2 linked regions of the Coturnix japonica genome follow. The protein of the gene in region 2 purifies or fractionates together with the protein of the main gene of each other region. This does not show direct contact. Links are inferred from orthologs where the notes say so. Each region holds a gene or a part of one and is shown on either strand. Other genes may lie near its edges.

Evidence for each region.
Region 1: the proteins of UBE4A (region 2) and UBXN4 purify together in Homo sapiens (affinity purification with mass spectrometry; 3 studies listed by BioGRID and IntAct, counting the BioPlex papers as one, with this or other methods). This does not show direct contact. The link is inferred for Coturnix japonica from reciprocal best matches to the Homo sapiens genes UBE4A and UBXN4.

Annotation. Positions count from the first base shown.
Region 1 is NC_029522.1:27,814,475-27,819,039, reverse strand, and holds the start of UBXN4 (UBX domain-containing protein 4), read right to left. Parts: upstream 2,891-4,565; 5' UTR 2,836-2,890; coding exon 2,754-2,835; intron 819-2,753; coding exon 716-818; intron 1-715. UniProt on the Homo sapiens protein: Involved in endoplasmic reticulum-associated protein degradation (ERAD). Acts as a platform to recruit both UBQLN1 and VCP to the ER during ERAD.
Region 2 is NC_029539.1:3,764,767-3,769,370, forward strand, and holds the start of UBE4A (ubiquitin conjugation factor E4 A), read right to left. Parts: upstream 2,989-4,604; 5' UTR 2,866-2,988; coding exon 2,739-2,865; intron 2,522-2,738; coding exon 2,345-2,521; intron 1,567-2,344; coding exon 1,454-1,566; intron 1,292-1,453; coding exon 1,139-1,291; intron 967-1,138; coding exon 807-966; intron 721-806; coding exon 518-720; intron 221-517; coding exon 29-220; intron 1-28. Other genes in the region: G protein-activated inward rectifier potassium channel 4-like, read right to left, coding at 3,521-3,768, 3,888-4,604.

The sequences.
Region 1 (4,565 bases), on a different chromosome or scaffold from region 2:
ATAACTGTTCTACCACCACACACGGAACTATTTAAATACTTGAGAAAACACTAAAAGCAAACTCGTGTTGCATCTTCTCATTATCATTCTGCATAAGTGTTATCAATCCCTGCTTATCACAGTTGAGTGCAGTAGATTATTTATGGAAGCAGTGCTAAGAAGCAGTATAGGAAGGAGACGTCTAACCCACTGAGTGCAAACAGTGCCATGTTTCTAAAGGGTCTGTACAGCCTTTTAAAATAATGCAACTTTTGGACACATCAATGCACTTTCCTCACTGGAGCTGAAGTTCTTACTCTGACAAAGCTGAGTGTTGTATCCAGAAGCCTCGATGCTTCCGTGCTGTGTGTTACAAAAGAGAGAATTTCTCTAGGGCCTCACAGACCCATCCTACTGAACAAAGGGCTGCCTTGAGAGCACTTGCTTTTTGATTCCACATTATCTTTTTACATCTTTTTCTTTTACAAGAGGACATCCCCAAGCATTCCTCTACTAATGCTGAAGCCAGCAGGAAACACACAGAGAATATTCTACACAACAATGCAGATTTTCATTTTTTTCAGATTCTGGTGGCTTCAGCAGTACTGAACTCACTTATGCCCTCAAACACTGTATTTAACTACCTCCAGTGCAAGGAGAGAACTTCACATGCCTCATACTTCCATCATCATCAATGAAAGACTGTATAAGAGACAGAATTAGAGTTAAATCAAACCTTTTGGTGTCGATTTTAATAGCAACAAATCCATCGGAGGCAGCCTCGGTCACCTGAGCGTCCTCCCACCTTGCAGCCATCTCAGCCGACTGTTCATCCTCACCTGCAAACACAACACACACGAAGCTGAACAAACAACCGCCCCTGACTTCAGCTCTGCTTCAGCTGCTTGAAGTAGTTGATGAAAGAGACTGTCAATTATTTGCAAAACAGTTAATCTTCTTTTCTTTCCTATAATCTGGAGGTAATTCACTGCAGCTGATTCATCTTGCTAACATGCCAAAAAAAGGCAAATATACCAAAAACCCTTCTAAGACAGTAAGCATGTAGCTTGCACGCTCATTCAGCTGCATGGCAAGTCAGTCCAGGGGAGCAGAAGGGACTGGACCGCACAGATGGAACAGGGATAAAGGAGCAGGAACTGATTGATGGCACTGGGGATTGGCTTGATTGCATCATCTCATTGCATGTTTCACCCCAGTCGCTATTTCACGTGGTATCTTTTACTCACGAACAACCAGGAATCCCCCTGTGAAGCTTTGCTTCCTTTAAATCAGGACTGGTCGCAGTGCTGCTCAGAAGGAAACAAATACAAAGCACGCTGCTTTTGGACAAGTGTTTTCCATCCGTACACCCTGATTTTCCCCTGGAAGCACTAATCTCTGCTCCTATCAGCCCACATACCCCAAGAGCAGTTACCTCCTATCAGCCCACATACCCCAAGTTCACGTTTGGGATATTTTTAGGGAGCCAAGTGCAGCGGGTGGCTGCAGCTGTTGTGCCCAGTGGTGCGGCCTCCTGCCCCCGCCCCACGCTGGGACAGAGCCACTGTGCTGCACACGCTGTGCTGCACACACTGTGCTGCACACGCTGTGCTGCACACACTGTGCTGCACACACTTTCACACGTGCTCATCCGATTAGGCTACTAAAAATACCTCCAGACTTGCCTAATGGTGACTTTTCCAGACAAACAACTGCTGCAGTTGGCAAAAGAATCTGAAGGACAAAAACAGGTCAGGCGTCGTTCAATGTGCCGTCTCTGAGAGCTGTGACCCAGGAAGGAAAATGCTGATAACTCACCTTCTATGAAACCCTACCTCATAAAGCACTTTAACCTGGAGACTACCCACAGAACGGCTACTTGGTATCTTTTTGTTAATAACCCTTTCCCACTTGGGATTTCACGTTCATTTATCGCAGTAACTGTATCCTGAAAAGGAAATGTGAAAGGCACGGAGAAAGCTGAGAGGCCGCCACCAACAGCGCTGGCTCAGCTCAACACTGAGTTAATACAACTGCCTCACAACTCTCGTGCCCACACATCCCTGTATTTCACTTAGCAGCAATCAAAGACCTGCACACAACTCTCAGTCACACGTGCTGATCTCTTCAGTGTGGTCAGGTCAAGTGAGAGCTGTGCACAGGGACAGCAATCCATCACCTCCCACGTCATCCACATCACTGGAAAAGACACAGTCTGCAATAACCATGTTCCTGTAAGAGGAACCTATTAAAACCACTCCAGGTTGCCAAAGGACTCAACTCCCCTATTCCTCAGTCCTAAGAAGTTTCACATGGAAACAAACAGATGCAGATCACTGAGCAAAGCGTAAACAACATCTACAAATAACAGCTCTGAAAGCATCTCTCCCTGCTCAGCCAGCAGCTTTGGGATTGCCTGTCCCTTATGTGTGCCTATGGGCCAGTCTGCGCCATGAAGATCTAACATCACTGCCACCACCACGATATCAAAGTATCACAGTATCAAAGCAAGGCTCCATCCTGCGGTCATATCACCAGCCTGAGCAGCTGTGCCTTCCCACAGCCACCCAGTCAACATTCACATCTAATAGAACAGGACAGTTCAGTGCAGCTTGAGTTGCATGAAGAAAATTCTGTAAGTTACACATTCTCAACCCTCAGCTGTTCCCTCTTCTCGCGGCCCTCAGGCCCGACAGCTCGGCTGACTCCCTGTCACGGCGGGTGATGCCCCCAGCCGTCTCTCAGCTCCGCCCCCCGCCCCGATCTGCCGTTACCTGCCACAAACACGACGAACACGGCTCCGTGCTGCTTGGCGGCGGCGATGGCGGCCGGGATGGATCCCCCGAACCACATCATGGTGACCGCCGGGCTCCGGAGCCGACACAGCCGCCGTGCGCATGCGCCGATCTCCCGTCACGCGCCTGCGCCGTGGGCCCGGCCCCGCCTTCTGATTGGTGCCCGCCCGCGGTCGCGCGCTCGATGGCGGCAGATTCGCCTCAGGCTGCGGGGCGATGGGCGCCATGTTGGGTGCCATGTTGGGCGCTTCGTGCGTTGCCTCTGAGCGGTTTGCAGCGCTCCGACCCGGCTTCGAGGCTGTTGTGAAACATCGCTACTCTGTGGCGAGGAAAAAGAGGCCTGTGCATATGTGGTGTGTGGCTGTGCGGCTCACCCGGGAAAGCCAAGTGTGTGTGTGGAACTGACAGAAAGCGGTGCTCGGTGTGTGGGAAGGAACCGAGCGCGGTTTGCTGTGAGGAGCAGCGCTGCTGCAAGGCCTGCACCACCACAACGAGAGAAAATGTTGGAGCAGGCCAAGGGAAGGGCACATGGTGTCCGACCTGTGAGAGCTGCGCTGTGTGTGTACAGCTGGTAAGGGTGACATCAAGAGGAATTGTTTTTGTTACATTCTCATGTAGCTACAGTTTAACACATTTCACCGTCTAACCGTAGGGTCAAGGAGCTGCTGCAGTTGATCGCCTCAGTGGCTGCCGTTAACCACAGCTCATAGCCCTGAAAAGCTGCAAATACACGGAGCGTTGTAGTGCAGGACAGGGATCAGGCTGGGCTGGTTGCACAGTGAAGAACACGGAGGGCAGAGAGCTGCACATGGATTAAGGTACCTTCCAGAGCTTTGCTTTGAAAAGATTCTAAAGGGTTCTCTCATGCCCAGCCGGCTTCCCAAGTTGCTTATATTTGCAATGTTGTGTAAGGTGCAAGGAAGCTTTACAGCCCACCTCCAGAGCATTTGCTGCTTCTGAGAACATACAGAGCCAAATTTGATTGAAATTCCATCTGTCACTCCTGTGGAAATGTGAGCTGGTATCAGATAAATATGCAAAATTGAATTTGGCAATCAGTATTTGAAGTAATGCAAAAAAGCTGTTTACATTTTAGGACATTGGTGATTCACACCTTCCCCCCTCAAAAAAAACAACCCAAAATTCTCTTGGATTGTAAAGGAAAATATTTCCATGAGTGGATTTCTTTTAATTGCACTGTTACTGGATGCTAATCAGTGGTCCATTAACAAATCAAAGTATCAGTTCAAACCAGTTAAAAAGGATTTAAATTAACATAGAGCCAAGCTCTGGTGTGTTTCCTAGCATCTGTAAATCAGTGCTGTAGCCTATCCTAGCACTATCCTAGTGCTGTTTCTTACAGTAACTAATTTGGACACTGTACAAACAACAAGGCTGTGATGTGTGCCAGTCTCTCCAACTGATCTTATCACAACTGCAGGGAAGAGTTCCAAGGTAGGTGTTAGGAAGAAGCAAAATGTCCCCAGTTCAAGTTCTGTAAATTGAGTTTGACGTAATGCAATATTGCAGTTTTGTTTCTTTTTTAATATAGTTTCTTTAAGTTAGGAAATCAAGTGTAGCAGATCACTTTGGGTTGAAGTCGGTAGGTTCCATGGCCACCTTGTAGCATTTCTGTGCCTCAGAATTTCCACTGCTCTCAGTGTGATATGTCACCATCAGTCCTTATAAGGTCTCATTCAGATTCTCAGTCATCTGGGGCATGGGAACTGAATTAAGAATCAACTTCACTGGTGAGCATCATACACAGTAGCACAGTTTATTTCTATACCC
Region 2 (4,604 bases):
AAGCAGCAATGTTATGCTTCAGTCTCACCTGATGAATGTTGGATTCCTGCACCTTGATCTCTTGTGGACTGGATCGGGATGGATTCAAGAAATACCCATGATTCTCTACCACACCAGGAGTCTTTAGCAAGCAGGAGATGTTTAAAATGGCACCTAACAAAGTCTTCTGGTACATCTGTCCATTGCTGGGATCCTTGGGCTGAATATACCCTGCAAAAACCTAGGGAAAACAGTTGAACGTGCAGCAGCCTAAACTGAAATCAGAATTACATTGTAAAGATGAGGTCCTAGAAACAAGAGCACAAGAAGTGCCACAGAGTATCTGCTTCTAGGACTACTGTCTGCTTCCCTGTTGTCATGTGCAAACTCCTTTCCCACTTCTTCTACCTCTTGTCTTTCTGAGCAATGCTACGGAAGTATTCATAGGACAACACTAAGATGATACAATTCCAACCAGTTGGGTTTCCCAGTAACAATCAAAGCAGCCAACAGCTCCTGATAACTGAAGAGCACATACCTTTGCTATATCTTTCTGCTTTGTGAAATAAAGGATCATATCCAGGTAAGTGTATAGAAGGATCTGACAAAGGTCCAAGTCCTTGATCCTGCTCAATAAAATATCAAACACTGGAACCATGACTTCCCCAAACGTCCGCACTTCCTCATCCATCGTTAAGGCTTCTATGACCTCCTCAAGAAACTCAGTCATGTCTTCAAAATCTAGCAAGGGACACAAGGGAATTACTGACAACACTCACAGCTCTTAACAATAACCTCACTAAGACATTAATTAACTTCAGACTTACGTGCTCCTCTCAATGCTTCCAGCATCAGATCCACCAGCTGCTCATACACATTTTGGTTGACATAAATCTCTGGGGTGAGAAGAACGGTGTGAGCATTTGACACAGTCAGATTTCGGCAGCGCACAGCAAAGGGCAGCAAGTTCTCTGGAACCTTGGTTATCTGCACAGAAAGAACAGAACGGATCAGAGGCTCCATATCCACCTCTTGCCATGGAAAGATCAGCTTTTAGATAACAAAGATCAGCTTTTAGATAACAAAGATCAGCTTTTAGATAACAAAGATCAGCTTTTAGATAACAAAGTTACCTCCCTTCTCAGAAACTTCTACCCACCTCTTCTCTTGCCCTCTGGAAACAGGCATAGAGGTAGCGTAGGATTTGTTTCTCCCCTGCATCTCGATCTGCAGAGAGATTCTGTGTGCCAGCAGAAGTCATGTAAATCAGGTTGTTTCCAGGCTCCTGCAGCAGCAGGCGGGTAAACAGCGCCTAGATACAAGAAAAAAACACCATGAAAGTGAAACAGCTCCTGCAAGCCAGGAGTTTAACAGTCTGGCCAGTTACAATCAGCATCTCTCTTGTAGCCCTGATGCAGTCTCTATCTGGACAGTCATTGTTCTGCATGAGATATGAGGCACGCAGTCATTATACCTGCTCGATGTTTTCCATGTCAAGCCAGTCTTGGTCATCCAGATCTGCAGCCATTTCTTCCAAATACACACAACGAGCTGGAATCCCATTTCCACTCTTCATGCTGGGATCACCTGGTGAGAATATAAATCATCTGTGGTCACAGCTGATAGAATATAACTGCAGAAGTGAAATCTGCAAGCAGGATCCTGCCTGGGGCAGACAGTCATCTGCTACTGGCTGCTGCAGGGAAGCACTGCCCACCTCCCAGCATCCCTGTCCAATTTTACATAGATCTGATGAGCTCCTGCTTAAAACACATTTCATTAGGGAACCCAGCAAGCAGAGACCCAACATCATTAGAAGCTGCACTCTTACACTGACGTCACTTGTAGGAAATAAGCTTTGGGGTACTACGTGGTTGCTCACAAGACCCCCAAGCTCTCAGGGAGTTTCTCTATTCACATCCTTGCCCCATGCAGCCCCACTGAGCATGAGCAGCACAAGCTCCTCAGCACAATAGTGCCAGATGTGAGATATACTAAGTGACACTTCCATTTGCTGCATTCAGAGCCTGTTTTTTCAAGCACAGAGGCAGAAACAGCCTTTCACAGCAGTTGTGTAATGCTGTTTTCTCTCACCCTTTCAGGTACAATGCAAACACACAAGCTCTGTTCAAGGTTCTGGGAACATAAAATGCGAAGCAGCTGCGTGGTTCAAGGACACAGAGCTGTTCCACCTTGCATTCCTCCCAGGTTGTTTTAAACCAGAACAAGAAACAGAGCGGAGCTTGCTGTATGAGAAGGGGCTATGCCTCCTACTGCTCACCCAGAGAACAGAGCACCAGCATCCCATCCCCTTGAGGCCATATAAAAGCCAGATCAACAACCACAGGACATCAGGAGCACTCACTGTTATCAAGAGTGATGAGAAAGATCCTTTGGATCATGTGATTGATGTTGAGCTGCTCGCACAGCTCCCTCTGAGACCTGAAAGAACGGCTGATCTCAGCCACAGAGTAATCACAATCATCCAGGCTCTCGGACACGCTGTTATCAGAGTCATCTTGACTGACCGAAGTTTCTTCTCCTGCAAAATAAAACCTCCTGAGTGAGCTTCTTCCTTTAGCACTCACAGACATGGAAAGGCACGAAGGGACACAGAGAAGCCCCTCTGCCCCCCCTTACCCCCCATTTACCCATATTTACCTCCCATTTACCCCCTTTTTACCTCCATTTACCCCCCGTTAACCCCCATTTACCCCCATTTACCCCTCATTTACCCCCCATACAGGCCCAGCCCTGACCTGCCAGCTGCCTCAGCTGCTGTTTCTGTCCTGCTGCGAACTGCTTGGCGTCTGCGATGGAGCTGAATAACGCAGCGAAAGGATTCCCGGAGATGTTGTTGTTGTTCTCCTGATCGGTCATCTCCATTCAACGCCGCGCCATGCGGGACGGACACAACCGGTCTGCGGGGACGAACCGAACTAAACCGAACCGAACCGAACCGGGCAGGCCCGGCACCGCCGCGCTCAGCTCCTACTCAGTCAGCACGTCGCACACTAATGACGTTATATAATGTCCATACAAGAGGGTGTCGCAGTGCTTTAGCTCCCCCTGGCGTCTTGGAGGACTCCATGTAAACAAAAACTGGTGCCACCCACATGCATTAGTTAATTAATTAGTTAATTAGTTAATTAATTAGTTTATGTTGGAATTCGCACACTTAGGATATAATATTGATTTATGGATGTCTTGTGTTGGCGTCACTGTCCCTAAAGGTGTTCAGAGCCGTAGGGATGCAGTGCTTAGGGCTGTGGTTCACTAGGGTTGGACTCATTGATCTCTTATGATCCTATATGTGTGTATTGCAACCTCCCTCCCACCCCACCCATGAGGCCTTATCCCATTGCCATGTCCCAATAGCGCTGAGTTGGCTGAGTAGGCCAGGAAGAGAAATGCCCTTTGAGCAGCCCTATATGCTCCAAGCCAACACCACACACATCACCATTGCAATGAACAGCTTTTAATGTCCTGTTGAGGGGTTCTTTGCCCCGTGACACAACAACAGTTGCATTGAGCCTCCATGTCAGGGCCCACAGGGCTGTGGCGGCAGCTCCCAGCACAGGCTGGGTGTGGAGCGGTCCCTGCGCTCCAGCTCCGCCATCTCTTGCATCTCCCTGGCGCTCACTGCTGGCGTCTGCACCTCGAAGGTCAGCTCGAAGCGGCTGTAGTCCACGTGGAAGGCTCCTTTCTCCAAGGACATGCAGGGCTCGAAGCGATACCCCCACAGGATCTCGTCCTCAGTGTAAGAGGTGCGGGCCTGGCACGTCATCCCTGCAGCAGAGACATGGCGAGATGGACTTTGCATCACACTAACACAAGCAGCTGCCCATAGACCCCACTCCCTGTCCCTCATACCCGGCTCTGCCTGACCCCAACCCCTCCTCACTCACCCGTAGCTTCCACAATACCCTCGAGGATGATGATGATCTCAAACTGCTCCCTCTTCAACGACTCCGCCGACAGGTCCCAGAAGGGGCTGTGCTGGTTGATGACGTGGCAGATGATCTGGGGCTCCACCAGGAACAACCTGTCCTCCCCTGTATCGTAGCCTAAATTCAGCTCCGACTGCTCCAAGGGGATGAACTCCCCTTCTTTGGTTTGTCGGGATTTGATCAGTTTGGCTCTTATTTTTGCATCCACCATGTGACTCTCCCGGAGGTCCCCGATGCGGAACATCAGACAGAGCTTTTCATCCCTATGGGAGATGACACAATTTTTACTGAAGATTAAGGTCTGGGCGCGCTTTTTGGGCCTGGAGATCTTGACAAACATGCAGCCCACCATGAGGGCATCAATCATGGAGCCTATGATGGACTGCACCATCAGCAGGATGACGCCCTCGGCGCAGTTGGCTGTCACGATCCTGGAGCCGTAGCCAATGGTCCTCTGGCTTTCCACAGAGAAGAGTAAGGCAGATATGAAGTTGTCCACGTTCTCGATGCAAGCCTTCCACTCTGGGTCCCCGATGTGGTTGATGTCATCCCTTACCCATGCATCGAAGAAATAGACGGTGCCAAAGACAACCCAGGTGACAATATAGCACATCATGAACACAAAGAGGAACCACCGGTACTTCAGGTCCACAATAGTGGTGAAAATATCTGAGA